7 linked regions of the Ovis aries genome follow. The protein of the gene in region 6 interacts with the protein of the main gene of each other region in a pairwise test. Links are inferred from orthologs where the notes say so. Each region holds a gene or a part of one and is shown on either strand. Other genes may lie near its edges. The genes, in order: RUNDC3A, MTF1, KRT40, ZBTB8A, ENTR1, AP1M1 and AP2B1.

Region 1 (4,125 bases), on a different chromosome or scaffold from region 6:
ACTGAAGGGTCTAAGAGACTGACTGATTTGTTCAAAGTCACACAGCTTGTGAGGCGTCAACAGGTATGTCTGATCCCAATGCCCTTGCTCTTTCTGGGGCCTCCTGGTGGATGTCAGGATCAGTGAGGCCCCAAGCAGCCCCTGCCTCCTCCACACTCTGTCCTCCGCTCTGTGCTCTAGCCCTCGAACACTGGCCGCCAAGGCTCTAGGCCAATGGCACAACTAACCCCACAGACCTCAGTCCCTTCCTTTGAGTTGGTCTGGCCTGAGATAAGAGTCAGGTCAGTTGCTGGGGTTGTACCAAGGGAGGCAGCCTGGATGGACTCAAATCCTGTGTCCTGGTGGTACCTTTGTGGCCTTGGACAAGTCACTTAATCTCTCCAAGGCCCATATTCCCCAGGTGTAAACAAGAACAATAGTACTTGTCTCATCAAATTTTGGTTCAAATTCCGGGAAAAGTCTGGGAGAAGGTGAGTGAGCAAGCCATGGGGCAGGGGTGGTAAGGAACTGGGCCATTAATGGCATGACCAGAAGGAGTCTGTGTTTAGGACATTATCTGGACTTTATTATACAGCCCTGCTCCTGTGATGTCTTCTGGTCATTTGGGTCAGACCTCAGTGGGGGCCTGTGGCTGGTTTCAGCATGGCAGCCATCTGCCATCTGTCCTCAGGGGTGCTGTGGTGCTGGTCATCGCCCCCGGGAGCCCCATGGTGTGTTCCCTGCTCAGAGGTGCAGTGGCTGCTGCAGGTTACCATGGAGACAGGGCAACCAGGGCCCAGGGGAGCCCTTGGCCTGCTAAAGGGAACTGTTCCCAGAGCTGGAGGCAAACCACGTGACTGTGATGAGGCGGCAGGGACCAGAGGGATTTCTGAGCCTCTGTCATGCTCGCAATCACCCCTTCCCCGCCAACTCTATCCCTCACATTCCAGCTCTAACCCCACTTCCAGTCCCCCAGAACGTCTGCTTCTGCAGCTGAGGCCCAGAGGCGTTTGTCCCTTCCCTACACTTTCAACAGTCCCAGCTGTCCTGGCAGGCAAGAGAAGGCAGAAGAACCTAGGAGGTCAAGAGAGATGAGAGGGACAGGAAGGATGGCATAGGGACGGGCTGTTTTCATGTGCCAGGTGCAGGACTAGGCTCCAACATGCATCATGTCATTACCATTCCTTGGTGTGGCTGTTATACCTACGATGGAGATGGTGAGACACCCAAGGCTCAGAGTGGTTAGGAGACTTCCGCAAAGTGGTACAGCTAATAACTGAAGAAAAGCCTGAACCTAGGACTGTCTGTGTTTTACACCACACTGGCAGGGCCTGGGAGGTGAGCATGGAGGCAGAGGCCTGCATTTGGGCTGGGCCACTGCCGCACTCATTCCTTCTCTAACGTTCCGGGCATTTTTACAGAGGTCATGTGTGCACAGCACCATGCTAGGCACTGGGGATATAATGGTATGAGACAGACGTAGTAGAGCTGAGTGTGCACCCAGGAACCTGGAAGAGTTGTAGGAGACAGACCCAGGGCATCAGGTGGGCACTGATCCCTGGGGGAAGGAGCAGGACCACGGCTGGTATGCAGGCAGGTGGGTCTGGCAAGGGAAGACAGCTGAGCCCTCAGAGGTGGCGTGGGGCAGAGGGGAGACTGCAGGTGGAGAAGGCAGCTGGCAGGGGGCTCCAAGGGGTAGAGATGAGTACAGGTAGGGGCTGAGGACTGGTCATTCCTGGCTTCAGGGAGGGGAGAGTGAGCCACTGCAGGGCTGGGGAGTGGGTAGGTTCACTTTCTGGGCCCCAAGAAAGCGGGCAAGTCTTCCCAACACTGCGACAACCCCACCCTTGGGAACCAAGGGCTCGGCCCTCCCAATCTCCTCCCCTTGGACCCGGGAGAACACAGCTCCTGCGGTCAGACCCTCACTCCTTCCCACCACAGGAGCAGTGCTGTGCCTTCACTGGATGGATTCCAGGACTTCACCTACATGCCCGGTTGACCCTGCCATGGGCTGCAACTAACTGCCTAGAGATGGAGGAGGGCACCACCCCTGCTCCAGGATTTGAGAATTGGGAAATCTCCCAGAAAAGCCCTACCCCAGAGAGGCCAGGTTGGCAGGGGTGGGAGTGAGGACATGCTTGGAGGGCGTTCATTCCCCTCTCCCATCAGTTCTTCTCTGCCCACCCAGCTCCCGCCCCCAGCAAGGGAGCCAGCCCTCCCCACCCCTCCCCCTCACAGACAATGTCACTTCCTGGTTCTCACAGGAAGCTGCAGTGCCAATTAAACACCCCTCACCCTCCAGGCCCCAGGCTGGGCACAGGCCTGGCCTGGTCTGGCCTAGAAGGGTAGGGACCAAACCTCTAGACCCTCTCCAAGCCTGGGTCTGAGGATAGCGGACGCGGGCTCCTCTTAACCCTGTGCTGCCTCCCTTTTCTTCGCGTCTGCTGTGCATCCTCGCATCCAGCCGGCCCCGTCGCCTCTCCTTGACCACCCCACCCCCGCCCGCCGGCGGTGCCCACCTGCACACGGTGATGAGGTTCCTGCGCTCCACGGCCACATTGCGGGAAGACGCTTTCTTGGAGGACAACCCCAGAGCCATGGTGGTCTGGACAAAGCTCGCTTCCATCCAGATGTGTGGCCACTGCTGCCGCCGCCAGCTGCCCCTCACCCTGCCCGGCGCCCCGGCCCCCCCACCGCCGGATCACCGCTGGGCCCTCTGCCCGCCGGGGCACATCGACCCCTCCACGGCCATCCTCCAGCCGCTGCGCGTGTTGCCCGGCCCCCTGGCTCTCTCCCCCGGCGGCGATTCCGAAGCAAAACAAGGCCGGGGAGGGAACTCTCCGAGGTGCTGAGCCGGGGCCCGTCACCCCCTCCCCTAGCTGCCCGCCCCCCTCGGCCGGTGACGTCAAAGCCCTCGAGCCCCGCCCCCTGGCAGGCCGGGGACCAATCCGCAGAGGGTGCAGGATTTGGAGGGGGAGGGGAAGGGACAGGGGCCTCAAGGAGCGCCGAGAGGGTCCCAGGGAGAGGCAGCGATTGGAAGGAAGAAAGGGGGCTTCTGGCTTGCCCTCCACCCCCAGGCTCAGAGCCCAGGACCCCACGTCTCGCGTCTCTGCGTCCCGACTCCTCTACTCCCTTGTTTCTGACCTCTGATCAGTGGTGTCTATCTCAGATGTCTTCTCATTTCTCCTCACCTTTATCCCGGCCCCCTCCGCCCACCCGTTGTCTATGGCATTCCCAGTGAGGCCAGGCCAGGTCTGCGTCCAGAGACCCTGGAGACCAAGGAGCAGTCGGAAACTGCGTATCTGTCTGCCCCCGGGCTTGGTTCGTCTGCGCCAGCCGGCGGAGTCCACCGCTGTAGGGTGGGGGATGGGAATTCAGAAGGAGCCGTAGAAGCCCTGAGCCTGGAACCCGTCGGGACAAAGAGTGGAGAGTAGACTGGCAGCTAAGGGCCTGGGCTCCGTGGAGGTTCCCAGCAGTAGAGCTGATGCCCATAGTGGTGCCAAGTAACTGCTTCTGAGTCCTACCTCCTCACACCACCCCAGAGGCAGCTGGTTTGAGGATTAACCCCTTGGTTGCTAGAATTGCTGCAGGGTGCCACCAACCCTCTCTTCAAGGCCAGAAAAGCTGGTTGCATCCATTTTCCGTGTTTATTTTTTTAAATTGAAGTATAGTTGATTGACAGTGCTGGTTGCGTCTTTTAGGTGGTTGCATCCTTTAGGGAAGGTGGGGGAAACAGAGGGACAGTCTGGCTTCCATACTACCCGTTGCTCTCTCACATCACTGCTCCCACATGCTCCATCTCTCTGTTCCTCTATTTAGCCTGTTCTCTTTCAACCACTGAAATCCCCAGCTCCCGCAGAAAGGCTTTCTGTGTTGATCACAAGAGCTTCACCCAGTTTCTCCATCTGGCCTCAGAAATGTCCATTGTCCAACTCTGCCCACTCTCTGGGTTGACGCTGCTCGATAGTGGCTGGTCAGTGTCTCCACATTGCTCCAGATGGGCACTCACATCTGAAAATGACCAGCAGGCAGGGACCCTCCATTAGCACAAACAGAGGAGGGAGAGATGAAAGACCTGTAGAAATTCCCAATCTTGGTCTGACTTCCTGGGGACTGGGGAGAAGGTCCTGACTCCAGCACAGATCT
Region 2 (3,611 bases), on a different chromosome or scaffold from region 6:
CCTCCAGTTAAGAGATAAAGTACTAGGGCACAGGCACAATGCGATGGGCACGATTAACACTGCTGTATGTTACACATGAAAGCTCTTTAAGCCGTGAATCCTCAAAGTTCTCTCACACACACATTTTCTTCTGTATCCTTAAGTTTTTATCTATCACGTGATGATGGATGCTCACTAAATGTGTGCCAAATTATTATGCTGTACGCCTCAAACTTATACTCTGCTATCTATCAATTATATCTCAATAAAACTGGAAGAAAATAGAAAAAAAAAGATCATAAATGAGATAGTAGGATCATTTTCTGTATACAGCCATCAGCAAATATTAAGAACAGTAAAAATAATGGGAAAAAAAGTGTTTTTTTGGCCATGTTGTGTAGCATGTGGGATCTTAGTTCCCCAACCAGGGATTGCCCTTTGCAGTGAAAGTGCGGAGCCTTCACCACTGGACTGCCTGAGAAGTCCCTGAAAATAATTTTAAATAATGAAAACAATAGTAACAACCAAAAAACCGAACCACCTGGAGGCAGGTTGGATCACAATGCTGAAGAGGCTGTTCCAGGGACTCTGGCCATCTGAAACTGGAACTAGGGTGCCTCCAGAGGTGGTGGCGCCCATCCCATTTATGGAACTTGAGTGCTCTTGCCATTTAGCTCCAACCTGCCTTTCTGGTTGTTTGGCAGCATCATACATCCACCAGACCTACTCCTGCTCAGTGCAGCCTTTCCTCCACCTAATTCCTGCTCACACCTCAAGAAGGCTCACCTGGCCCATATGGCCACCCAATAAGCCTTTAGTCTCTGAACCCCTCATCTGGCAGCACAATCAGCAGCATGGATTCTGGGACTGGTCTGCCTAGGCTTTGCCATTTATAAGCTGTGTGACCTTGGACTAGTCACCACTTAACTTCTCTGGGTCTCAGCTCTCCATTGATAAAATCATATCTACTTCCTAAGATTGCTGTGATTAAAATACTTAACATGGGGTGGGGGTGACATCTAGAGATACAAACATATACAGATGTTAATAATCATTTATCAATATTAATTCACTTATAATAAATGTATCACATTGATACAAGCTGTTAATAATGAGGGAAACTAGGCTGGGGGTGGGCAGGGAGCAGGAAGTGTATGGAAGTTCTTACTATTTGTTTGATAAAAACTAAAAAATATATATAATCTAAAAATAAGGTCCCTAAGGTAATGACTGGCACGTTAGACCCTCAATTTTAATAAGTGCTTAGTCAGCACAGGAAGCCCATACGTACATGAAGGGCTCAAAAAGTCACAACTATTGTTATTTTTTATTACCATTATTTTTATTATTTGACACTTTATCTACTGGTAGCATTAACTTCCTTCTAGGTATTTTAGCCTCTTTAACTAGAATATAAGTTTTTATCAAAAATAAATGTTTTTTTTTTTTTCATTTTTCCAGATTTCCAAGAGTATCCTGTGTGGTATCTGGTATACAGCAGGTTCTCAAAATATACTCAGTTGAACAACCACGTCATTTCCTTAGCCACTGAGACCATACACTTGGGTAGAAAATGGCTCTATGATGGATTCTGGGAGCACAGATTACTTCTGACTTGGCCACTGTGGTCTGTTTCCATCTGATGAGGTCCCATCAGTCCCTCAGCCCAGGATGGACTCTGCCTTGGAGAACGTTCTCGGACTCTCCTGTCAGAATTGACAGAATCAGACCGCAGCTGAAATACCTAGGTAAATCTGAAAATTGTTTCTCTGGCCCTCTATTATAGGTATTGACCGCAACATTCCGGGACTCACACTGCTTGATTATGGGGGAAATGACTGGTAGAGTGATGTGTTTCGGGGTAGAAACAACAGCCATTTTCCTTTTTTGAAGTAAAGGCCTCTGAACATGTCACCCACAGAAATACACTTCACCCACTGGACCCCTTTCCACATCATACTTACAATTTGCTCTTGAGTTTGCGGTGTGCTGGTGGTACCATTTAGTATCCACTGTAAGTTCTGCTCCCCCATGACTAGGCTGGGCTGCAGGATAGCTGCGCTGGGAGTCGGGGTGATGGTTAGAGTGGGATTACTAGTTAGGACAGAGTTGGCATCCAGGGGCAGAGTCTGGACCATGGCTGGCAGGGGCTCAGTAGTACTTTGTGTTTGGGGTGGTGCTGCCATGGCGGATGCCACTGCCGCTGCTGACGCCAAGGCCCCAGCAACAACAGAGAGTCCTGGTACGATGGGCTGCGGTGCCTGGAGGTGCGGAAGAAACTCTTGATGATTAGCAGCAAACTGCGTGCTGTGGGCAACAGGCACTTCTGGAGGTTGTAAGAGAGCAGGGGGGTTGCCAAATGCAGCTTGCTGGGAACCAGTTCCTAGGGAGGGAGCAGGCAGAGGAGCAGATGGTGCTGAGGCTGGTAGTAGAGGCTGGGGTGGCTCGGAGATGCCAGGCTGCAGTATAAGTGGAAGAGATAAAGATGCTGAATGTCTTGTGGATGGCGGAACATCACTGACTGACTCCGCATCACCATTAAAACTTTCAATCAAGGCAGCTGGCAAGAAAAAGAAATAGAAATATAGATACACATTCCAACCCTTATATAAGCCACAAAAACAGTCTCTATGGGCTACACCAAAGACAGCTGAAGTCTGTTAGAGACGATTCCTTCACTGCAGACAGGCTGGCTCTCTGCTTTTCACGTAATGACCCCTCTGGTCAAAGTACCAGGCTTTACCATCAACCTCACTTTCTAAACTCGAAGACCTAGTATGGATCTAACCATAAAAAATGTGTGTCCCGTGGCTTTTGTGGAAAAGAGGTTAGACATTCTTTTCTGGGCACATGACCACTGAACACACTTTTTAACTACTGTGACGCTTCAGGGACATATTTTCATTCAAACACAATTTGATCTACATATCTAAAGTTTGGTTTGTGGATTCTATCCACTCATGAATGGGGTGTCACATCAGAAGAAAGTGCTCACGACTCCTCTCACTTTTTGAAAGCCAACGAAAGATTCTGGAAAAGGGGACCCTCTTCATTTGAGGGTCCAGGAAAAGTAGATCCTCAAGTAAACCCTTGATGAGGGAAGCAGGGGAAAGAAAAAAATGGAATTGAGCTAAAAAGCCCATCCTTCTCTGATCCCTCAATGAAAGTACACTTCATTCAAAGGACCTGAAATATATCACTGTGCTTGACATCTACTGTGTCAGCAAGTGTGAATTCTCCTTCCCAGTGCGGAGATCTGAGCAGGAAGACAGTCTGTGTAACAAACCTGTCTGTTGAGGATCTTCCTGAATTGCCGGATCATCTGACTTCTGGAACATTGGTCCAAAAATGATTGCTGGTGAGAGAGTGCTGAGATTCTGGCCCTGTGGCAGAGACAGAGACAAACGCATGAGGCGCACCATCCAAAAGCAGGTCTGCACCCCAAGACGGCGCAGAGCAGCAGGATGAGAATGATCTTCGGCTATGCTTCTGGTTTCTAACTTTTCTTTTCCTAAGGTGACATTTATTCCCCTAAGCCTCAGACACTGAAGATCTGGGTCTTCAAACACTCTAAAGCAGGAGTTGGCAAACTGACTTGCTGGCTGAATGCCTGTTTCTGCAAATAAAGCTGT
Region 3 (4,377 bases), on a different chromosome or scaffold from region 6:
CTGGGAGAGCTCATGTTGAGTATATTCATAGAACTTGAGTAGATGTTGACTGATGTGGAAAAAACTCACTCTAGGCACTGTTACTATTCAGCCTGATCATTCTGGTGTATCTCTGAATGTAAACGTGAAATGACCACTGGCCAGTGCCGAATGGAGGAACTTCGCCTGCCTTTATTTTGGGGGGAGAACGTAGCTCCACAAATAGCTTTCCTGGGTGTTTTATGCCACTTTTATCTCTAACTCATAAAGTATGAAAATCAAGCTGATAATTGCAGAGTGCGAAGGTCATTTCATAAAGGAGAAAAGATTCATGCAATATTTAGACTAATTTTTTTAATATTCTGCATTTATAAACTTTTGAAATCGTCAATTGTGAATTATATAATTATCCTACATTTATGAAGCTGAAAACTGAAAAGCTGAATGGTGTTACAGAGTATATCTTCCCTTTGAACATTTGTTTATGATAATAGTAACTAACATTGAGACCTTATGGTGCACTTAGGACTTAAGTGTTTTCTATGAATATGAACTCTCATATATCTCACAATAACTCTCTTGTAAGGGTAAAATCATACCTATTTCACAGATGAAAAAATTGAGTGATGAAAAGAGACTCAAGCTAGGCAATCTGAATCTAAATCTCACACTTCTACTCACTACTGCAAAAACCAGAAATGGGGTGCTGTTGGTATATCGAATTGAATTTTTTCCCCACAAGTCACATTCTTTACTCCATTTCCAACTCAGGAGGTCAACGTGCTTCGTGGACAGCTGGGCGACCGGCTCAGTGTGGAGCTAAACACTGCCCCCACCACGGATCTTAACAGAGTCTTGGATGAGATGCGTTGTCAGTATGAAACTGTGCTCGCCAACAACCGCAGAGACGTGGAAGAATGGTTCGCTGTTCAGGTTGGCACTTGGAGCAATAAAATGACAGGCATCCAGACTTCTGCCTAATTTGCATATTCTAATCATGCCTGTATTTCAGACAGAGGAACTGAATCAGCAGCAGCTATCCAGTGCAGAGCAGCTGCAGGGCTGCCAGACGGAGATCTTGGAACTGAAGCGCACAGCCAACGCTCTGGAAATTGAGCTTCAAGCACAGCAGAGCCTGGTATGTAAGGGCAAGACCACTCCGTTTTGTCACTGAAGAATCATGCTTAAGATACTTACTATCCCCTATTCTGTAACCCAAAGGACAAACCCACAGTTTATGCAGCAGAAGGTCTGAATTTCCTTCCCTTTTTCAAGGATGCTGTTTACCCAGCTAGAAGCGGAAGTGATAGGTCGACAATTTGTAATGTACCACTAGGATGTCCTGACCTTCCTTTCTGGGCTTGGGCATGATCCTGCAGCATCCTCCAGAGACAAAGAGAGGGAACAGAAAGAGCAGAACGAGATAGGAACTTACAAACCAAAGGCTCTCCTTTGAAGAGATGTCTGTTTAGGTCCTCTGCCCATTTTTTGAATGGGTTGTTCTTTTTTAAAAAAATTTGAGCCACATAAGTTGCTTGCAAATTTTGGAGATGTTGGTTTCATGGTTCATGAATGTTTTCTCCCACTAACTCTTTTGTGGTTTGGGCCAATTTTCCAAGCTCACCATCACATTTAAAATGAAGATGCTCAGACTTTACATTCTATAACTATCTTAAACTTTCCCAGGATGCACACCTCAGCTGGACCCTTCCCTGTACCATGCTTCACCCAAGCAGCAAAAATACCATGTATTCAAGATTACACTAAGCATCTCCATTGCTGTGTGAGCCACATTAGGTCCTATAGAGAATGTCTAAATGAATAAGAGCTGAGCATTCATCTTGTGAGAGGCACAACGCTAATTTAATTCTCACACTAACCTTATAGGGTAAATCCCTCCGCTGACCCCATTATACAGATGAGGAAAGCTGAGGCTCAGATTAAGTAACAGGGGTTCACACAAGTTTTAAGAGGCAAAAGTGGAAGCTGAATCCAAGTGGTTCGATCTCAGAGCCTCTTCTCTTAACCACACTAGGAGCCAGGAGCCCATTACAACATTTTCTCTCAAATGCTTTTGATCTTCACTAGGCTACACTAGTAGGTTATAGGTCGCAGAGGCCATAGTGGTAATGATAACTCTTACTACCTTTAAAATTTTCCAGGCACTGTTTTAGACACTTTATGTATATTTACTCATTTAACCCTCCAACCATCCTATGAGGTTGGTACTTTGCACTCTTCATTTTTTATACAGTAAAACTGAGTTCAGACTGATGGCTCTAGCAGGTGTTAATCTTCGATCTTAACAGGACTTTTGACACCGTGGTGTTTCCAGGGTGGTAAAATAGTAGGAGATTTGGGGCTTTTAAAATGTATTTATACTAAATAAATAATGCCCAAACTGGAAAAAGCAACAACAACAACAACTGAGGCTCAGAGAAGCTAAGTAATTTTCCAAAGTCACATAGCTGGAAAGATAAGAGTAGAGCAGGGTTGGAAAACAGGCAATCTGGCCCCAGAGACTGTCCTACAACCACCTTCTTTACACGCTCTTTCCTTCTGCAGACAGAATCTCTGGAATGCACCGTGGCGGAGACTGAGGCCCAGTACAGCTCGGAGCTGGCCCAGATACAGTGTCTGATCGATAATGTGGAGAACCAGCTGGCTGAGATCCGCTGCGACCTGGAGCGGCAGAACCAGGAGTATCAGGTGCTGCTGGACACCAAGGCCCGGCTGGAGTGTGAGATCAACACGTACCGGGGGCTGCTGGACAGCGAGGACAGCAGGCAAGTTCCACACAATCCCTCTTAAAATCCCCCAGAGTCACACAGAGGCTCTTGAAGGACCATCCTGTTTCCCAAAGATCTGGCCATATTCAAACCTCCTTAAAGGAGTTAAAGGATATTCTTAAAGAGTGATGAAAAGCAGCAAGGCTAGTCACATGTCAATTGAAATGTTCAAAATGTTCTAAATTTCCAAGGCAGAAAAAATATAATATGTAACATTTCAAGCTGGGAGTTTCCCTTTGCTCCTGACTTCAGGAAACTCTGAAGAAATATTCCAGGGTACTGAATGATTTAACTACTAGACAAATGGCAAAATATGCATAACTTTTGGCTAATGGGACCTAAACAGGCATTGGAAAAAGCCGTTAAGAGAGTAAATCCTAAGAGTTCTCGTCACAAGGAAAAAATATTTTTCCTTTTCTTTTACTTTGTATCTGTATGAGCTGATGGATGCTCAATAAATTTATTGTGGTAATCATTTCATGATGTATATAAATCAAATCATGCTGTACACCTTAAATTTAGACAGTGCTGTATGTCAAGTATATCTCAATAAAACTGAAAGAAGAAAAAAAGGAAAGTCAGTAACACACATAAGATGGCATTTGCCAACTAAAGAAAATACATAAAGGTTTATCCAACTGTCTCTGCTATAGTGAACATGAAGTGGCAATTCTTTCATTCAAATGTTATTCTGAAAATAGAGTTCTTCAAAATATAATTTGAAGGGCAAATTTTGGCATGATTTTTTTCTGAGTTGACATTTTATCCAGCTTCTCCATGTTGAGATTAGTTAAAAATGGATTTTTCACAGGCTTCCCTGTAACCCATGTTCTGCAACAAGCACGTCAAACAACACTTGTGAGCCATGCTCGGCGTACATAATTTGCACAGTTGAAAACAGCTGTCCCTGAAGGTTAAACACCCAACACAGCAGATGGAGGAAGGGAAGCCAGCAGAATCCTTGAGAGGAGACGGTGCTTCGATCAGGGACATCCAAACTTGAAATTCAAGTTAAGAACGCTTTTGTATTCTAAAATTGTCCTCTAAGCATGCATGAAGGATCTCTGTTTTGTCATTTCCTCTCTTGCTTGCTTATTTGTGATATTCTAGGAGTCTGTAAAGCTTTCTTGCTGCTCTCCAATAAAATGTTTTCATTCCTTTAGAATGGTAAATACAGACTTGTAGCTCATTACTGTTAATATAATAAACATTTGATGCCAAGATAATTGTCTAAAACAATGCCAGTAGTTTGATTTTGCCTAAACCCAGAAGGAAAATATTTTTTAACTCCTTGAATACAAATAGATTAGCTAATTCATGTAAAATGTCATATATCATGGAAGATAGGTGTGTATATATCATTCTGAGAAGAAACACTTGAGGATATTAATTATAAAAGTACTAGATTCCCTTTTTTTTCAATTTGGCACAGGAAAGGGAAAAATCACTCATAATTCCATACCCCAAATATCCATTGTTGGTATTTGGGGAACTTCCAGTTTTCTTTCTTATAATGGTAGTAATCATAGTTTCGTATGCATTTAGTTTTAACCTATTTTTTCACTATGTTATCTAAGCATTTTCCTTCCTAATAAAAATATAAGATTGT
Region 4 (4,220 bases), on a different chromosome or scaffold from region 6:
TTTGTAGAACTCTTTTGCAAGTTTCAATTAAAGCTAAAAAAAAAAAAAAAAAACACCAAAATCTTTTCTATAACAATGCCCAGGTCTATCTAGGAGAATTATCAATGGGGATGCTAGTAAAATAGTCTGAGTACATTCAACATTCCTGATACCTAATGGTTTTCAAACACATTTTTAATGATCTGTGCAGAATGATGTGAGGAAATGGAACTAAATAGCAAAATAACTGGAGAGTAATATAGAAGTGATATTAAGAGATAGTTGTGTTTTGTATCCTATGAACTGTAGCCTGCCAAGATCCCCTGTCCATGAGATTGCCTAGGCAAGAATACTGGAGTGGGTTGTCATTTCCTTCTCCAGGGGATCTTCCCCACCTAGGGATCAAAACTGCATCCCCTGCATTGTAGGAACATTCTTTACCACTGTGCTCCTAAGGAAGCCCTTCTAGTAGAGAATATGGTCCTCAAAGCACATAATTAATTATGATGAAACCAAAGTAACAAACTTTGTCCAGTATAACTGAATATGACATGAGAGAAGTCCATCAAAGACTAAATATTTTGAAATTTTGAGTCTTGTTTGTTTTACTATATCACAGAACTTTTCAGTACTTTACTCCAACATAAGGAACTAGAAAACTAATTTATAAAATTGTTTCTATAGTAACAATGAAAATTCAGTGATTATAAAGATTTTAGCAAATACATAATCTGACGTCTGAACTCTGAATATTAGGGACATAAATATGTCAGAAGAAAGACTTGATCTACAATGAATTTTTGTATTTGAAAACACAAAATCTGCTATTCTTACTAGTTTTTTATTTTCTTTGAACTTAACCAAGAATTATTTTCTCTTATCTCAGCTTCTTGAGTTAGCCTCTTCAAAGAAAATGCAATGCTTGTGACCTGTAGAGGTTTAGAAAAGGTATCCCCGACTAAAATGAGTGCCTCAATAAAAGGAAAAATTCTGTACAGATCTCTTCCATTTGACGCTGCTAAACTTAAGTACAATAATGTCACATGTACTTATACAGTAATTGTGGGCACGCCTAAGTCCCTCCCTCTTTCCTAAACCAAATTCCCCAGATCCTAGAAATCCAGCCCTTCTGCCCTCCGGAGGCGCCTTTCCCAACGTAAAGTACAATTTAAAATTTAAGCTCCTGACTAAATAATGATTCCGTAGCCAACTGCTCGGGGATCTGGGCACCCCAGCGCCTCTGGAGCGTGCAGCGGGGTGTAGGGAAGGGCAGGGGGAGTGGGCGAAGCTGCTGGTTGGTGCCTGAAATCTGTGCGTTGCCCCTTTAATTGTGTCCCCAGCCCTCGGGCGTTTCTGTCCAACGCCCACGTCAGCAAATACCTTTTGTTTCTCTCACGTTGGGGCTACTTGTTTTGGGGCGCAAAGGAACGGCTTCGAAAGGGGGAATTTCCCCCGCCGAGAACCGGGAATCTTCCCCCCAGCCCGCGCGCGCGACCCGCCGTTGCGCCGCGGCCCGCGGTAAGTGGCTGCGCGCCGCGCGGGCGGAGGGCGGGCGGGGCGTCGGGGCAGCCTCGCACGGGCCCGCAAGCCTCGCTGCGGGCGGAGGCGCGGGCGAAGGCGCCGCGGGCTTTGCTCCCCGGGCGGTGGCGGCGGGATACGGCCCGGGCGCTGCGCCCCCAGACGTCCCCGGGCTGGGAGAGCGGCGGGAGGCGCAGAGGCGAGCGGGCGCCATTTGCAGCCCCGGGCGCAGCGGCGGTGGCGCGCCGGTCTGAGGGGCTGGAGACGGTCACAAAGGAGGCGCGGCCGGGCGGCCGGCGCCGAGAACCTGGCCTCGCTGCGGTGGCCGGCGAGGAGAGGCGGGCGGCGGCGGCGGGGCGCACCGGTTCCCGGACTGCGCGGCCGCCGCGCCCGCCCTGCCGCCCGGCCCTGTCCGCCTGCGCGCCCGGGAGGGGCTGCGGGACAATGGCCGCGCCGTCGCCGCCCGCGCCCGCCCGACCGCCCCCGCCGAGCGCCGCGCCCGCCTGGCCGCCCGGCCCGGCCCGGCCGTGGCGCGGGGAAAGGCGGGAAGGCGCGCGGAGCCTCCTGGCGGCGGTGGCGGGAAGGCGGCGCGGGGCCGGTGCCGGGCGTGTCTGGAGCCGTCGGGCGCCGCAGACTCCCGGAGGGTCGGCGGCCGGCGGGGCTCGGGCTGCGCGGCCAGTGATGGGTGGCCCGCCGGATGGGGCGGCCGAGGTCTGGGGCTTGTCACTTGCGGCCAGGAGTCCGAGTTTCTCCGTACATCTTCCATCCTTTGGTTTTATATCGTGACGCGACAGATCCGGGCTTAGAACCCAAGCAGACTTACTATACCTAACTAATATTGTGCTGTAATTACTGTTTTATGACGGACTCACACATACGCACCTTCTGCCCATGTAGACGGCATCTTTTGTAAGTTAATAGCGGTTTGGCACCTTCGCCTTCAAATGCGCTTATTTATTATTGATTGTGCCAGTAGCCAGGTTCTGTATCTTTCAAAGGCGGTTCCCCCCCGCCCCCGGCTTTCGTTTTTCTTTTAAAATTGAAATATAGTAGACATATAACCTTATGTTAGGCTTAGTACAAAATGCGTTTGCAAGCGGTAGATTCTCACCTATTGGGCTTTTAAACTACGCACATCAGTATTACTTCTGTTCTTAATAAGCCTCTATATTTGAAGAACTTTAGTAAATGGAGTGCTTTCGCCTATATGAATTATTTCACTTATTTTCGCATAAAACAACCATCTAGTCAGGCCGGTGGTTTTTCCACTTTCTAGGTGAGGAAACGCATTAAGCATTTAAACGTTAAGCCAGGAGGTGAACAGTGGCAGGCTTCCAGCGCCCTTGCCTCCTGTTCTTGCTCTTCATTTCCTCCTAAAGTCACCTCCATATTCTTTAAGTAAGCAAGTCATATCATTCCCATGCTCTAAAGCCCTTAACCGATCTTATCAGAAACAAGTCTAAAATCCTCAGCAGAATAAACCTTAGGCTCAAAACTTCCTCTCTAATCTTCCCCGAGTCTCAGATAAGGCTTGAATTTGTGGGACCCCTGGAGCAAGAGCCCTTCACTGAAGGGCTGTCAGGCAGAGTATAACCAGGAATCAGATACCTTTATTCCTGGTAGTGCCCCTGGCCACACAAATGGTAAATGGGAAGTGAGAATCTAACCTGCCACCCCCGGCCAAATGGGCATGTTTGGGTTAGGCTGTGAAATATTAGACCGGGGCATCCTGAGTACCTTGGCTTCTTTCAAGTCCTGAATTCCCCATGAAAGAGAGCAGCCTGCCAGAACTTATCTTGTGGCCTTGAAATCACCAGCTCTGCTGTTGATGATGATTTGAGCCCCCAAACTTTGTAAGATAGGGTAATACTTGATTCATCCTGTATCATTTAAATCTTATTTTCTAGATAAAATGGAATTTATGTCTAATAGGCTTAACCTTTTCAGTGACCTATCTGTTTATAATAAAGAATTTGGTGCGAGTGTTTTGATCCCCTTGAGGAAAGTTCCTGTCACTTTTTTGCTTAGAGTTGGTCAGTGGCTCCTCATCTTCAGTGGGTCCCCGTCTTACTCAGACCAAAAGCCCAAGGCCCTAAAGAGTCTACCAAGTCCACAGGAACTGGTCCCACGATGTCCTGTGAATGTCGCTCAGTTGTGTCCGACTCTTTGCAACCCCATGGACTATACAGTCCTTGAAATTTTCCAGGCCAGAATACTGGAGTGGGTAGCCTTTCCCTTCTCCAGGGGATCTTCCCAACCCAGGGACTGAACGCAGGTCTCCCGCATTACAGGGAGATTCTGTACCAGCTGAGCCACAAGGTGAGCCCCGGGATGTCCTACTGCCCCACAATCTATTGTTCCTTTCTGACTCCGTCTTTCCTTACTCTCCCCAGCCCTCCATTTTCTACATTTCTTTTAGCTCCCCGACTCGGGATCCAACCCATACCCCTTACATTGGGAGCACTGAGTCTTAACCACAGGAGTGCCCGGGAAGTCCTCCCCAGCTCTTGATGTTTCTCCAACCTCCTTGCCTGCTTCTCTTCAGAGCCTTTGCGTTTGTTGTTCCATCTGCCTGGAACACCCTTCCTCCAGATATCTGAATAACTCTCTTACCATCTTTGGACTTTACTTTAAATGCCATCGTCTCACTGACTTTCCTCAACTATGGTTTTTATTTTTTTAACATTTTTATATGTAATTCTGATTCCAATTGTTTAATTCTA
Region 5 (4,119 bases), on a different chromosome or scaffold from region 6:
GTCAGCACGGGGACGCTGCCGCAGCCGCAGCAGCACAGACTTTCGTCCTTGGAGCCCAAACCCCAGGCCATGGAGGACGCTGGGGGCTCCGGCATCCTCCAAGAATGTTGCTCAGGCACGAGCAGTGACCAGGGTGGGGTGCCGACGCAACCCCCCCCTCACTTACTGCTTCGTAACTTATCTGCAGCGTCCGAAGGTGCCTGTCCCCCAGACTCTCTCCGTGGGCTGTGAAGTCAGCGCTGGGGCTCCCCGTCGGGGAGATGCGAGAGTCGGAGTCGCTCAGTGTCCATGGGGGCAGAGACTCGGGCCCCACCAGCTCCGACGGGTTGGAGAAAAAGGAGACGTACGTGCTGCAGGGCGACGTGCTGCCGGCCACCCTGGAGGAGTGCGTCTGCTCCACGGCGGACGGTAAGTAGGCCCCGTTCCACCCGTCCTCCTCGTCTTCCTCCTCGTCCAGGAGGTCGCCAGCCCCCGTCGGGTCTTCGAAAAATGGCTGCTGATATTCCAGGCCATAGCCCACAGTCTGGGAAGCTGGGGAGGTGCAGTCGAGTCCCAGCGAGTGCCTCGTGGCTTCCTAGAGAAGGTGGGGAAGCAATGCTCAGACTGGGGCCGCTGCAGGCCGTCCCTCCCAGATGTCTGCTGCTGGCACAGAGAGCAAGGAGCCCGGTGGCCTTGAACCCCACGCTGCGGCTCCGCGGGGCAAACCAGCTGCTCGCTTCGCCCCTCATCCCATGCGCGTCAGGAGAGATGTCTGGAGGGTTTCTAGGGTCGCTGCAGACACGGCCTTGGGTTTACCTTCGAGTAAACCCTGCTGTCGGCGTCCTCCTTCGACAGGCTCAGGTTCTTGGTCTTCAGGAACTCTTTAAAGGAGAATGGATTTGCCGCTTCGAGGTCTCCGAGTTTATCATCTGAAAGATACCAGGTGTCACTCAGGCAAAAAGCCTCCGGAAGGCCCTCAGAGGGAGCTCCTATTCACTGCTCTCGCCTGAACGCGACCCCACCTACATCGGGAATGCTCACATCCTTCCCCAGACCCCGGTGATGCCGGGAGACGACTAGCTACCTGACAGGATGGACTGACTCGGGCGCCCAAGATCCTCCTTCCAGCCCCGCGCCCCCTGCACCTTGTTGCCATCGGGCTCCACCTGGGGAGTGCGAAGGCGCCCATGGGTCCCCTCCCGGCCAGAGGCTCCAGGAGCAGCCTGCAGCGGGGCCGGCAGACGTCAAGTCATTGCTCCGCCGCCAGCCTCTTCCCGCCTCACCTCAGCCTTCCCTTCTCTCCCCGACTCCTTGGGGACCCAGGCAGCCACCCCGCAGCCCTCTCAGCCCACCGACAACGCCCAGCCCAGTTGCTAGTCCTGTGTGAAGTTGGCTCCTGTGACTTCAGCTCCACCCCCGTCTCTTCAGACCCCTCAGGCGTGACTTCCCAACTTCCCGCCCCCCCCCCCCCCCCCCCAGGGAAGATCAGATCTGCGGGGCTCCACTCCCACTGGCTCTTCTGGGCTCCAGGTAGACTAGTTATACGCTGTCAGATCTACAGCCCCACCCCTGGGCACGCGCCTGGCACGTGGAGACGTGGGTGGAGAGAAAAATAAAGGATTACCGAACTACTCTACCTCCAAAGTGTGTGTTCTGAGCTCCTGGTGGACCTTGCTTAGCACACTTCCCCTTTCCATAGCCAAAATCTGCAGAGAGACACCATCACCCCACTGTGACCACACGAGTGCTCTGTGACCCCAGCTCTCTCTGACACGGGGTCTCTAGTGCAGTGGTCTCTCACAGCCTGGAGGACGTTTAAAGCTCACGCCCATGGGCTCCTGCCTCTGGACATGGGCTGCTGCCATGGGCCTTGGCATCTGTGATTCTGAAAAACCTCCCGATGGGTTTGACGCCCAGTAGGGCAGGCGTCTTGTGGTGCCTCCTGAACGCCCTTGTGGGTGGTCAATGGCTCTCAGACCCCTATAGAACCACCTAAACGCCCCGGAATACCCTGAAGGCCAGGCAGTGTTAGCCACCTGGGGAGAATTAGGAGGAACTAAAGCTGGCCTCCGCCCAGCTGCAGGGGACCAGAGAATGGTTTAAGCCTGATCTGCTGAAGGCTTAGGAAGAAAGACAGGGTTTTCTGTGCTCACCCTGGGCCTACCTCTAAGCCAACATTTACTGCGGTCTACTGGAACTGTCTGGCGGGGGCGGGGGCGGGGGGTTCTCCACTCTCTGACTGTGGTGAGCTCCAGGCGGCGGGACTCCCAGCGCCCGGCACCCGGTGGGGTTAGTGGTCATCGCGAGGCCGGGGGTGAGCTGCGCTACCGCGCGGTACCGCAAGCAGCGCCGGCCCCGGGGAGGGCGGGGTCCCTGAAGCTCGTCTCTCACCTGTGTCTCCCACGGAAGCTAGCACCGGACTAGGCATATAGCACATAAACGTCGGCCGAAAGCCGAAGAAGTGGGACTCCAGGTCCCTGGCCGGGGGGCGCTCACAGTCTAGCTGGGGGAGACAAGACCGGCGCTCATAGAACGCGGGAGCTGTAATAACAACAAGAGCGACTCTTCACCCGCGCGCCCGCCTCACCTGGACCTCAGCGCGGCCGCTGGGCCGCGGCCGCCCGCCCGCCCCCGGCCCGCTCACCGTCCGGAATGACGAGGCTCCGGGCCCGGGACAGCGGGGTGACGCCCGGGCGGCGCGCGTAGCCCGCCATCGCCGCGGGCTGCGCGGCGCCGGCCCTCTTCAGCCCGGCAGCGGCGGCTCCATGGCCCCGGCTCCGTCCCGGCCGCGGCCCGAGTCGCCCGCCTCCGTCGCCCGCCGCTCGGCCGCCGCTCCGAGCCTCCAGCCGCTGCTTCCGCTCCGCGCACCGGAAGCGCGAGGCCGAGCGCCGCGAGCGGACGCCGGGGGGGCGGGGCGCCGGGGGCGGAGCAAGAAGTGACGACAGAAGCGGTGGGCGGTGCCACAAGATGGCGGCCATGGTGCTGGCGGCGACGCGGCTGCTGCGGGGCGCGGGCTCGTGGGGCCGCTCGCGGCCGAGGTGAGCCGAGGGCGGGCCGGGGGCCGGCCGGGGGCCGGGGCAGCCCGAGCCCTTCTGGACGCCCCGCCTCTGGCTTCCCCATGCCGTGGCGCGGCGGCCGGTCAGCGGGCTGGGGGTGCGGGACCCCGGCCCCGTCCCCGAGGCGACGTGGGGGCTTCCTCGTCTGGCGCCCCGGGCTCCGGCCCCGAGCTTCATCCGTCTCTCCTCTCCCTCCCGCTTCTCCCGGGCGGTCGGGGGGCTTGTCCGAGGTCACGTGTCATCTCCGCCTCGGGCCCCTTCCGGCCGCGTGTCCCCTTGTGAGGCCGAGCCCGCGGAGCCAGGGTTCCGTGGTGGCCAGAGCCGTGCCCTTGGCCGCGGTGCTGTGCACTTCCTCTGGACCTCGGGCCTTTCCCACACGGGCACTTGGTTTAGGCGACAGGTGGGGTTTTGCCTTCCCGCTGTGTACAGGAGTTGCGTGGGAGCCGGGTGCTGTGATGACAGAAACCAGGCGGTGGGTTCAGACAATCGCGCACCTAGAGTTTCAGCTTTGAAGCCGAAGTTCAGCGGTAGGAAACAGGAGACAACTTCAGGAAGAATGAAGAGCAGCCTCCAAGGAGGTGACGTTTAAGCCAGGAGAGGTGGGGAATGAGAGAAGGGCCAGCGCTGTGAGCAGTGCGGGCGAAGAAGGCAGGCCCAGCTGTGGGAGTGATGAGCCCAGCCTGTTGAGGGGGGGTGCACCTGGTGTGGCGCGGCTCCCGGGTTAGGAGATGAGTTTGGAGAGTGAGTCAGGGGTCAGACCATACAAAGCCTTTGGGACCTGGTAAAGAGGCGTGGCTTCCATTTAGACTCCAGGGGCGCTGTTGAAGGGCAGAGCTTGGTCAAGTGCTCTGTGAGTAGAAATTGGCTTAACCCGCACAGCCCCCACCCCAAGGGGCTGTTACTACTGTTTCATAGACACAGCACCAGCTTGCCTCCAGTGCCTCGGCTCAGCCAGAGTTTGTTCCCTCAGGGGTGCTCTTGGTCACCCCTCTGCTCTCTCCCTAGGACGGTGTAGAAATCCTCTACATAAAGAGATGCAGACTTTTCTGATGCGTGAAAAACACAGCTGCACCTTGGTGGCCAC
Region 6 (3,040 bases):
AATAGACCTCCAAGGCGGGGCTGGGTGATACGGGAGAGGGAAAGGGAGACACAGCCCCTGCAGGCAGCAGGGGGCAGGCCTGTGACTGCAGTGGGCAGACAAGCTGCCTTCTGCCCACGGCCCTGCCGAGACCCCCCTGTGGAGGGGGCGCCAGGCCGCGGTCCTCAGACTCCAGGGCACGTATGAATCACATGCAGAGCCTGTTAGCCGGTCTCCTGGCCCCACCTCCAGAGACTGCCACGGCGGGTAAAGGAGGGCGCCTGTGAGCCTGCACGTGCGGGGGGACACTGATGCTGCTGGCAGCAGGACCACACTCTTGAGGAAGCCCACTGGGCTGCGGAGGGGAGCAGGCTGCTGGTGGCCCGAGGGCCGAGGGCTGTGACGGTCATCTCAGACGGGACGGAAACGTTTGCCCGTGAGCCCTCCCCTCTGCAGCCCCTCTGGGAGGCCCCTGGGCAATGGCTCTGCTTGCTCATTGCCTGGTCCCGTCTTCCCCAGGGGACATAGGGGCCCCAGGGACTGGTGCCCCACTCAGGTTGGTGTGCGCCTACCCCTCTCCTGGGCACCCAGGAGTCAGCACAACGCTGTACCAGACGGAAGGCATGTTTAACCGATGGAGTTTAATGTACTCATGGCACAAACATGGACAGGGTTGGGGGCGGCGGTGTCCAAGCACAGATGGGGATGGCCTGGGACCCCCACCCTCTGAGGCTGGGGGCCCGCGCTGGACCCCTCTTCCCCTGGCGGGACAAACACTGATGTGGCTGAGTGACAGCATCATGTGGCACGGGCTGGCCCTGAGAAGGCGTCTCTATTCAAAGCTCCAGACCAGGAGCCTCTAGTCGAAACGCCAGGTGCTGAGAGGGCAAACCGGTGTCAGCCTCACTGGGGAGGAGGGCGAGGAAGGGGAAGCCTGTCCTCGCTAAGTGCTGCCTGAGAGCTTCAGGACGGGGGAGGGAGGCACAGACAGCGAGGATCACATACACAGCGACGGCCGGAGACAAAATCTAGGAATGCTCGATAAACCCACGGCATCCAACAGAGTGGCAGCACGAGGGCAGCCCTGCCAGCCTGGCCAGAGCGCGGCCCGGGCGGTGCTTCCCACTCTTTCTGTGACCGGGAGCGGAACAGCACAGAAGGCTGTATTTGACCTCTGGAGGGAAAGATGCCTTTCCTTCTCCCTAAACTGACTCAGGGACTGAGAGACAAGACCTCTTGAAGATGAGCCTCTTCTGGGAAAAGGGGACTTGGGAGGTGAGAGTGGCGGCGGCAGAGCAGGTGCACCTGGGAGGAGGGGCTCCTGGGTGGAGCCTGGAGGGGCGCCAGGGTCCAGGGGAGCCCCTCCCTCCAGCAGGCTGGGCAGGCGCTTCCACCGGGAGCCTCCGGGCTGGGAGGGTGGGCCACCACGGCTGCTCACTGGGTCCGGAGCTGGTAATCTACAAAGAGGGAGGGGGGCGTCCATTGTCTGCTCTGACCCTGGAGGAGGGGCCGCCCCACCTGCCCTGACCCTGAGGTTGCTCCCTGAGCACCACCCTGGGGACAGAGGCACGCCCACCAGGGGCCTTTTCAGCAATCCCCCCCTGCCCCTAGGGCGGGTCGCACGCACCTCCGTTCTGAGTGATGTAGCGAACCCACGGTAAGGCCTGGTAGCCACTCTTCTCGATGATCTTCAGGTAACGCACCTGCGGCACAGGCATCAGGGCCCTAAGCATGCACACGCGGCCCCACTCCTGGCTGCCCACCCAGCCACTCCTCCTGGGGCTGGGCTGAGACCAAGAGGGCGAGGGAGAGGGCGAAGCACATTAGTCTATTTCACACTCAGGCCGGGGGAGGGTGGAGATGCTTCTAGAAGGTGCGGCAAGAGCCAGATGTGCACTCGCAGGCACGACCCTCTAGCAGATTCCTAGAGAAGGGGTCAATCCCAGGGTTTTCTGCCCCATACAGGGCTTCCGTGGAGGTGCCAGGAAAATGGACCCCACAGCGGCAAGTGTGTGGACATTAGTTTTGGGGGCTGAATGCATCTCTGAGCCTGGAGCACAGGTCAGGTGTGAGCAGACCACTGCAGGCCTCTTTCCATCAGGGCCAGGCTGCCCACGGAGACGGGCAGGGCGCCCACGGAGACGGGCAGGGCGCCCACGGAGACGGGCAGGGCGCCCACGGAGACGGGCAGGGCGGCCACGGAGACGGGCAGGGCGGCCACGGAGATGGGCAGGGCGCCCACGGAGATGGGCAGGGCTGGGGAGCAGCTTGGAGTGCTGGGACGAGTCAGCTAGCACCCTTCGCTAACTGGCTGCACTCGTGTCTGTCACCTTCAACCCTCTGAGCCTGGACTGGTGCCTGGCCCCTGAGAGGCCCCGCTGGGCCTGTCCATGTCTGCCCCGGGGCCCCGGCTGCCCTGGTTGCACGTGCCTGGATGCCAGAGGTAGTGAAGTAGGGGATCTCGAACTTGACGCTGATCGGGGGCTTGCCCTCCTTGTCCTCTGCCTCCACGCTGGGCAGGCCAAAGTGGGCCCGCATCAGGTACTCCTTGCCGCCCTGCGGGAGCAGACCACAGAGGAGATGGTCAGGCGGAGGCCCTGGCAGGTCCATCCAACAGCTGCCCCTGGAGAATGCCAGGCTGAGGGCCTGGCCAACGAGTCCCTTCCTGCACGGTCTGTGGCCACCCTGGGCCTCGGCTCCTGCAACACACTCACACTTACCTTATCCTCTAAGCCTCCTGGGCTGCCCACACCAGCCCCGCTAGGGAAAATTCATCCTCTAATTCTGAGGATGAAGAGAAACTGCTACAAGTTCCCAGGCACAGAAGCCTAGTTGCGTCGAGGAAAAGAAGAACACTAGGCCTTGGGGAGGAAGGAGGGAGAGGAAGAGCGAGCGCTGGCACGGGGCGACAGGGCTGCCTGGGACTGACGAGCTGGCCCTAGGTCTCCCCCTGGAAGGGAAAGGCTCTGGCCCTGGAAGCGGACTCCAGAGCTGGGACTTGTAGCGGGGGAAGGAATGGCTGCCCTGCTGGTGCAGTGGTAAAGAATCCACCTGCCAATGC
Region 7 (4,365 bases), on a different chromosome or scaffold from region 6:
AGAGATCCAGAGCAAAGCGAAGCCAACATGGAATTGGAACTCACACTACCTTTTTACCAGGTCAAACTAGACAAGTCATCCATCGGCTGCTCTACCGGCTTGAGGTATGGCCTCAGGACATCGTTTTAAAACATAAATGAGGCTGACAGAGTCAAATGCACAATTTCTCTAACTTTCCTAGCCCAGAGTGTGATGTCACTGCATTTCAGAAAAGGCCTCTCTGTACAGGATTACACATCTAGATTTAACATAACCTAGTTTCTACTAAATATAGGCTGTGACAGTTTTCCCTTCTCAACTATCCCTCCTTCCTTCTGGTGCCCCTAAAGAGAATAAGGCCAGAAAAAAATTAATAGGGGTCTTAACTCCGAATGGCTCTCTGGGAAATAGCAGCTAATTTAGAGTTGGTGAGGCCAGTAAATCCACTCTCTTCACGTGAAGTTGGATTTTACACAGCTGGTGCCCGTAGGGAAAAAGTGAACAGAATTAAACCAAATTATAAAGTGGACAGGTCATCTTAGTAATCTTTCATTACAAGCATAAGGATGAGAAGTGCTAATTACACATTTCAATAACACATCTTCATGTATCATTTATTGCATACAAAATTACAACAGATAACTCATTACAACAGACATACCTATCATTCCCATTTAACTACAAAGTACTCTGCTAATATCATACAGTAAGAAAAAAGGTCTTAAGTTTCACATCCAATTCTTAATTGAAATAAACTCTGGAAAACTTAACGCCTGGAGAGAGAGAAGGAAGAAAAGAAAATGTGTCCTTCCTAATTTGTTACTTGTTCAGCTTGATTCAGAACTGTGCCTTAAATGTAATATTTTAAAACACAGGTAGAAAGCTGAGCACCGAAGAATTGATGCTTTTGAATTGTGGTGTTGGAGAAGACTCTTGAGAGTCGCTTGAACTACAAGGAGATCCAACCAGTCCATTCTAAAGGAGATTAGTCCTGAACATTCACTAGAAGGACTGATGGTGAAGCTGAAACTCCAATACTTTGGCCACCTGATGCAAAGAGCTGACTCACTGGAAAAGACCCTGATGCTGGGAAAGACTGAAGGCAGGAGGAGAAGGGGACAACAGAGGATGAGATAGCTGGATGGCATCACTGACTCAACGGACATGAGTTTGAGTAAACTTCGGGAGTTGGTGATGGACAGGGAGGCCTGGAGTGCTGCGGTCTATGGGGTGGCAAAGAGTCAGACACGACTGAGTAACTGAACTGACTAAAAATACAGGTGTGTTTAAAGAAGGAAAAAAAAAGATGGAAGAACCAGGTTTTCTTGAGTCTCTTAAGTCACAGAATGTTGTTTAGTGGTTAAGTCACATCCTACTGTTTTGCAGCTCCATGGACTGAAGCCTGCTAGGTTTCTCTGTCCATAGGATTTCCCAGGAAGGGACACTGCGGTGGCCTGCCATTGCCTTCTGCAGGGGATCTTCCCAAGCCAGGGACCAAACCCACGCCTACTGCAGGCGAGCCACCAGGGAAGCCCTCACAGAATGTTAGCTTTATACTAATTTTACCATCCAGCTTTCAGTGAAGCTATCTGCAGAACACCCTCTACTTTCGGCTTCTTTGGGAGTTTAAACTGTCAAATACCTGTAAACAGTTCTCACGTTCCCACCAGGCTTAGTCACCACTGGCAAAGTGTTACACGTTTTCTTGCACAGCTGCATCTCCTTCATCTGCTGCTTTCTATTATTACTTTGTAAGTGTACCCTGAAGCTAAGCAACACAAGTATACCAGGAAGGTGATTAATAATTTAAATTGTTCCTCACTGAGACCACTTTCTTGGTCATTCTATCTTTTCTAAACTTACTGCGTTTTTTTTTTTTACTTTCTCTTTAAACTACAAGGATTGTTAACAGTGTTTTGGCATTTTTAAAACCTTTAAAAGTGAAAAGTTTAATGAAGCAGCCACATTTTATTCACACCGCTTCATAATGGAGTTTAAAAAAGAGTCTGCCCCCAAATAGAAGAGTGCTGTTAAAAACTAACAGCATGAATAAACTCTTTGGATTAAAAAAAAAATGGAATTAACAGGAAGTTCCAGTTTCTTTACCTCTGTCTAATCCACAGCCTTTCTCAAACCAGACCGTTCCTTCTAAGACCCCGAAGAAAAAACTCCGGGCTAACATTTACTCTCAAGAGCTTCCCCCTCTCTCATATCGGGTCAATTCTCTGGGTTTTTCTTCCCTATCTTCGGAGTCAGGAATTCCTCTTCTTTCCCGAGGTGGTAAAAATTCTACGGCTATGTTCCTCCATTACGAAGCAGAGAGGCGTCTCTTAACCTCAAATGACGGGCGACGGCGAGGTTTACCCATCTAGGAGCAAAGCTCTGGGGAACCCCTTTTCCCTTTCCTGAGCTGAGCATGTCCTACCTAGCCTCTCAGAGAACGACGCCAAACCGGGAAGAAGCAAGGTTCTCTCCTTGGCCTCCGGTCTCCGCCAGCCACACCCCTGGCCTCTGACCCTCTTAACCCCCCGACTTCGAACATATCTTTCCCCCAATACCCCCCAATTCCCACCCCGAGGATTCCCTCGCCCCGCCCCAGCGGTGGAGTCCTTTTCTCCAACCCTCTTCCTCACAACGGTCACACCCGACGGCTCACTCCATCTTCAACGGTCACGGTCCTCGGATTTCCTCTCCTCCGCCTGTCTCCAACCAAGTCTGGGGATCCCCCATCCCCATCAAAAAGGGACACACCCCAGAGGTAGCCGCCTACAACTCACCGTAGGCAAGGGCGGGGGTGGCAGCAGCGGCCAGAGAGCACGGCCCGAGCGATGTTGTAATGGTTTCCTGCACGTCACGACTCCTTCTCCAGGTCTAAGCCACTGCGCAAAACCCACTTTGCCCGGTACAAAGATGGTGGACAGGAAACTCTTACGTCAGAGAGCCTCGCCGTGTGATGTCATCCAGACGCGCGAGAGAACGAGAAAGGAGGGACTACTCTCTGTCGCCTTGGAGACGGAAAAATTTTGCGCGGTGTGGTAGAGATCTGAGATCTAGGCTTCGGAGGAAATTCATCTGAAAGAATCTAGTAAACAAGCTGACATTCTCTGGATTTGTTTCCTCACACAAGACCTCTCTAAAAACTTACACAGAGTCAGTGAAATGCCTGTTGCTTTCTTTAAAAAACAACAAAACCCAGCTAATTCCTTGGGCAATTAAAATACACTGACAGTGGTGATCCAGCCCAGGATTATACAAGGGCAGTGGAACTGGAGGAGACTGGTGCAAGGAAAAAAGGTTGAGACGGTCTCAAATCTATGTGTGAATCCATTTGAATCCGAATCCCTGCCCTGAATGTGACTAGGAAAGTTACTTGTCTCTTCAACTTCAGTCTTCTTACTTGTGAAATAAAGACGATGATAATAACTCTTACCAGTTTATGAAGCTTAAACCGGATTAGGTTGGTAAGAAGCCTAGCATGTAATAGGTATGCTTTGTTAATTGTTTTAGTTAAGTCACAGCTGACTCTTGTGACCTCATGGACTGTAGCCCACCAGGCTCCTCTGTCCATGTGACTTCCTAGGCAAGCATACTGGGGTGGTTTGTCATTTCCTTCTCCAAGGGATCTTCCCCACCCATGGACTGAACCCGTGTCTATTGCATTGGCAGGCGAGTTCTTTACCAATGAGCCACCAGGAAAACCTACGAGTTTGCTTACGCGAAAGAAGTCCCTTTCAGAAACCAAGACCTAGAAATCTCTGTATCTTCCCCTCAAAACTAAAACTTCCCACATAAAACTGCTCTAAGTAAAAATAATAAAAAGTCTTTAATCAAGAAAGAAGAAGAATGTGAAGAGCCTAAGGCAGAAGCTGGGAAACCAAAATGCAAAGGGGACTGAGAAGCAGTCAGAGAGGTAGAAGGAAAAGAAGGCAGTCATAATGATTTAGAATGTTTTTAGAGTTCTATGAAAGTATAGAACTGAATATCAAAACTGTATCTCTGAGGCCTACCCCCCGCCTCCCCCAAATTTGTTGAATGACTAAATGTATGAGTGAGTGGTTAAGAAGAACAGTTGCTATAGAGAAAAGGAGGAGCCAAAAAGTGTCCAAGAATTTAGCAACACAAAGGTCTTTATGTCATTGCCAAGACCATTCATAGAGACATTGAAGGCATAAGTCACGCTGCAGAGGTTGGAAGATAAATGGGTGGAAAGGAATGAAAACAGATAACTCCATAAAAAAAAGTATGACTGAAAAGAAAAGAGATACAAGATGGTGTCTGAGGGAGAAGCAAGGATTTATGTTCTATACTCATACATTGTCTTTACACTGTCCCTTTAGCAATACCATGGGTTCAACTATTTTTCCTACTCATATGACTCCTAAAAAG

Evidence for each region.
Region 1: the proteins of AP1M1 (region 6) and RUNDC3A interact in binary tests that used the Homo sapiens proteins (3 or more experiments, as listed by UniProt). The two-hybrid records come from large-scale screens. The link is inferred for Ovis aries from reciprocal best matches to the Homo sapiens genes AP1M1 and RUNDC3A.
Region 2: the proteins of AP1M1 (region 6) and MTF1 interact in binary tests that used the Homo sapiens proteins (3 or more experiments, as listed by UniProt). The two-hybrid records come from large-scale screens. The link is inferred for Ovis aries from reciprocal best matches to the Homo sapiens genes AP1M1 and MTF1.
Region 3: the proteins of AP1M1 (region 6) and KRT40 interact in binary tests that used the Homo sapiens proteins (3 or more experiments, as listed by UniProt). The two-hybrid records come from large-scale screens. The link is inferred for Ovis aries from reciprocal best matches to the Homo sapiens genes AP1M1 and KRT40.
Region 4: the proteins of AP1M1 (region 6) and ZBTB8A interact in binary tests that used the Homo sapiens proteins (3 or more experiments, as listed by UniProt). The two-hybrid records come from large-scale screens. The link is inferred for Ovis aries from reciprocal best matches to the Homo sapiens genes AP1M1 and ZBTB8A.
Region 5: the proteins of AP1M1 (region 6) and ENTR1 interact in binary tests that used the Homo sapiens proteins (3 or more experiments, as listed by UniProt). The two-hybrid records come from large-scale screens. The link is inferred for Ovis aries from reciprocal best matches to the Homo sapiens genes AP1M1 and ENTR1.
Region 7: the proteins of AP1M1 (region 6) and AP2B1 interact in binary tests that used the Homo sapiens proteins (3 or more experiments, as listed by UniProt). The link is inferred for Ovis aries from reciprocal best matches to the Homo sapiens genes AP1M1 and AP2B1.

What each region holds. Positions count from the first base shown.
Region 1 is NC_056064.1:43,852,774-43,856,898, reverse strand, and holds the start of RUNDC3A (RUN domain-containing protein 3A), read right to left. Parts: upstream 2,857-4,125; 5' UTR 2,606-2,856; coding exon 2,499-2,605; intron 1-2,498. UniProt on the Homo sapiens protein: May act as an effector of RAP2A in neuronal cells.
Region 2 is NC_056054.1:12,611,696-12,615,306, forward strand, and holds part of MTF1 (metal regulatory transcription factor 1), read right to left. Parts: intron 3,363-3,611; coding exon 3,266-3,362; intron 2,540-3,265; coding exon 1,944-2,539; intron 1-1,943. UniProt on the Homo sapiens protein: Zinc-dependent transcriptional regulator of cellular adaption to conditions of exposure to heavy metals. Binds to metal responsive elements (MRE) in promoters and activates the transcription of metallothionein genes like metallothionein-2/MT2A.
Region 3 is NC_056064.1:40,925,193-40,929,569, reverse strand, and holds the end of KRT40 (keratin, type I cytoskeletal 40), read left to right. Parts: intron 1-750; coding exon 751-912; intron 913-991; coding exon 992-1,117; intron 1,118-2,544; coding exon 2,545-2,765; intron 2,766-3,579; coding exon 3,580-3,679; 3' UTR 3,680-3,771; downstream 3,772-4,377. UniProt on the Homo sapiens protein: May play a role in late hair differentiation.
Region 4 is NC_056055.1:235,067,172-235,071,391, reverse strand, and holds the start of ZBTB8A (zinc finger and BTB domain-containing protein 8A), read left to right. Parts: upstream 1-1,350; 5' UTR 1,351-1,497; intron 1,498-4,220. UniProt on the Homo sapiens protein: May be involved in transcriptional regulation.
Region 5 is NC_056056.1:3,075,398-3,079,516, reverse strand, and holds the start of ENTR1 (endosome-associated-trafficking regulator 1), read right to left. Parts: upstream 2,849-4,119; 5' UTR 2,694-2,848; coding exon 2,624-2,693; intron 2,521-2,623; coding exon 2,371-2,520; intron 1,686-2,370; coding exon 1,617-1,685; intron 909-1,616; coding exon 796-908; intron 575-795; coding exon 167-574; intron 1-166. Other genes in the region: PMPCA (mitochondrial-processing peptidase subunit alpha), read left to right, coding at 2,947-3,017. UniProt on the Homo sapiens protein: Endosome-associated protein that plays a role in membrane receptor sorting, cytokinesis and ciliogenesis. Involved in the endosome-to-plasma membrane trafficking and recycling of SNX27-retromer-dependent cargo proteins, such as GLUT1.
Region 6 is NC_056058.1:6,573,149-6,576,188, forward strand, and holds the end of AP1M1 (AP-1 complex subunit mu-1), read right to left. Parts: intron 2,536-3,040; coding exon 2,410-2,535; intron 1,683-2,409; coding exon 1,607-1,682; intron 1,437-1,606; coding exon 1,414-1,436; 3' UTR 601-1,413; downstream 1-600. UniProt on the Homo sapiens protein: Subunit of clathrin-associated adaptor protein complex 1 that plays a role in protein sorting in the trans-Golgi network (TGN) and endosomes.
Region 7 is NC_056064.1:14,480,575-14,484,939, forward strand, and holds the start of AP2B1 (AP-2 complex subunit beta), read right to left. Parts: upstream 2,853-4,365; 5' UTR 2,613-2,852; exon of another isoform or gene 1,622-2,612; intron 1-1,621. UniProt on the Homo sapiens protein: Component of the adaptor protein complex 2 (AP-2). Adaptor protein complexes function in protein transport via transport vesicles in different membrane traffic pathways.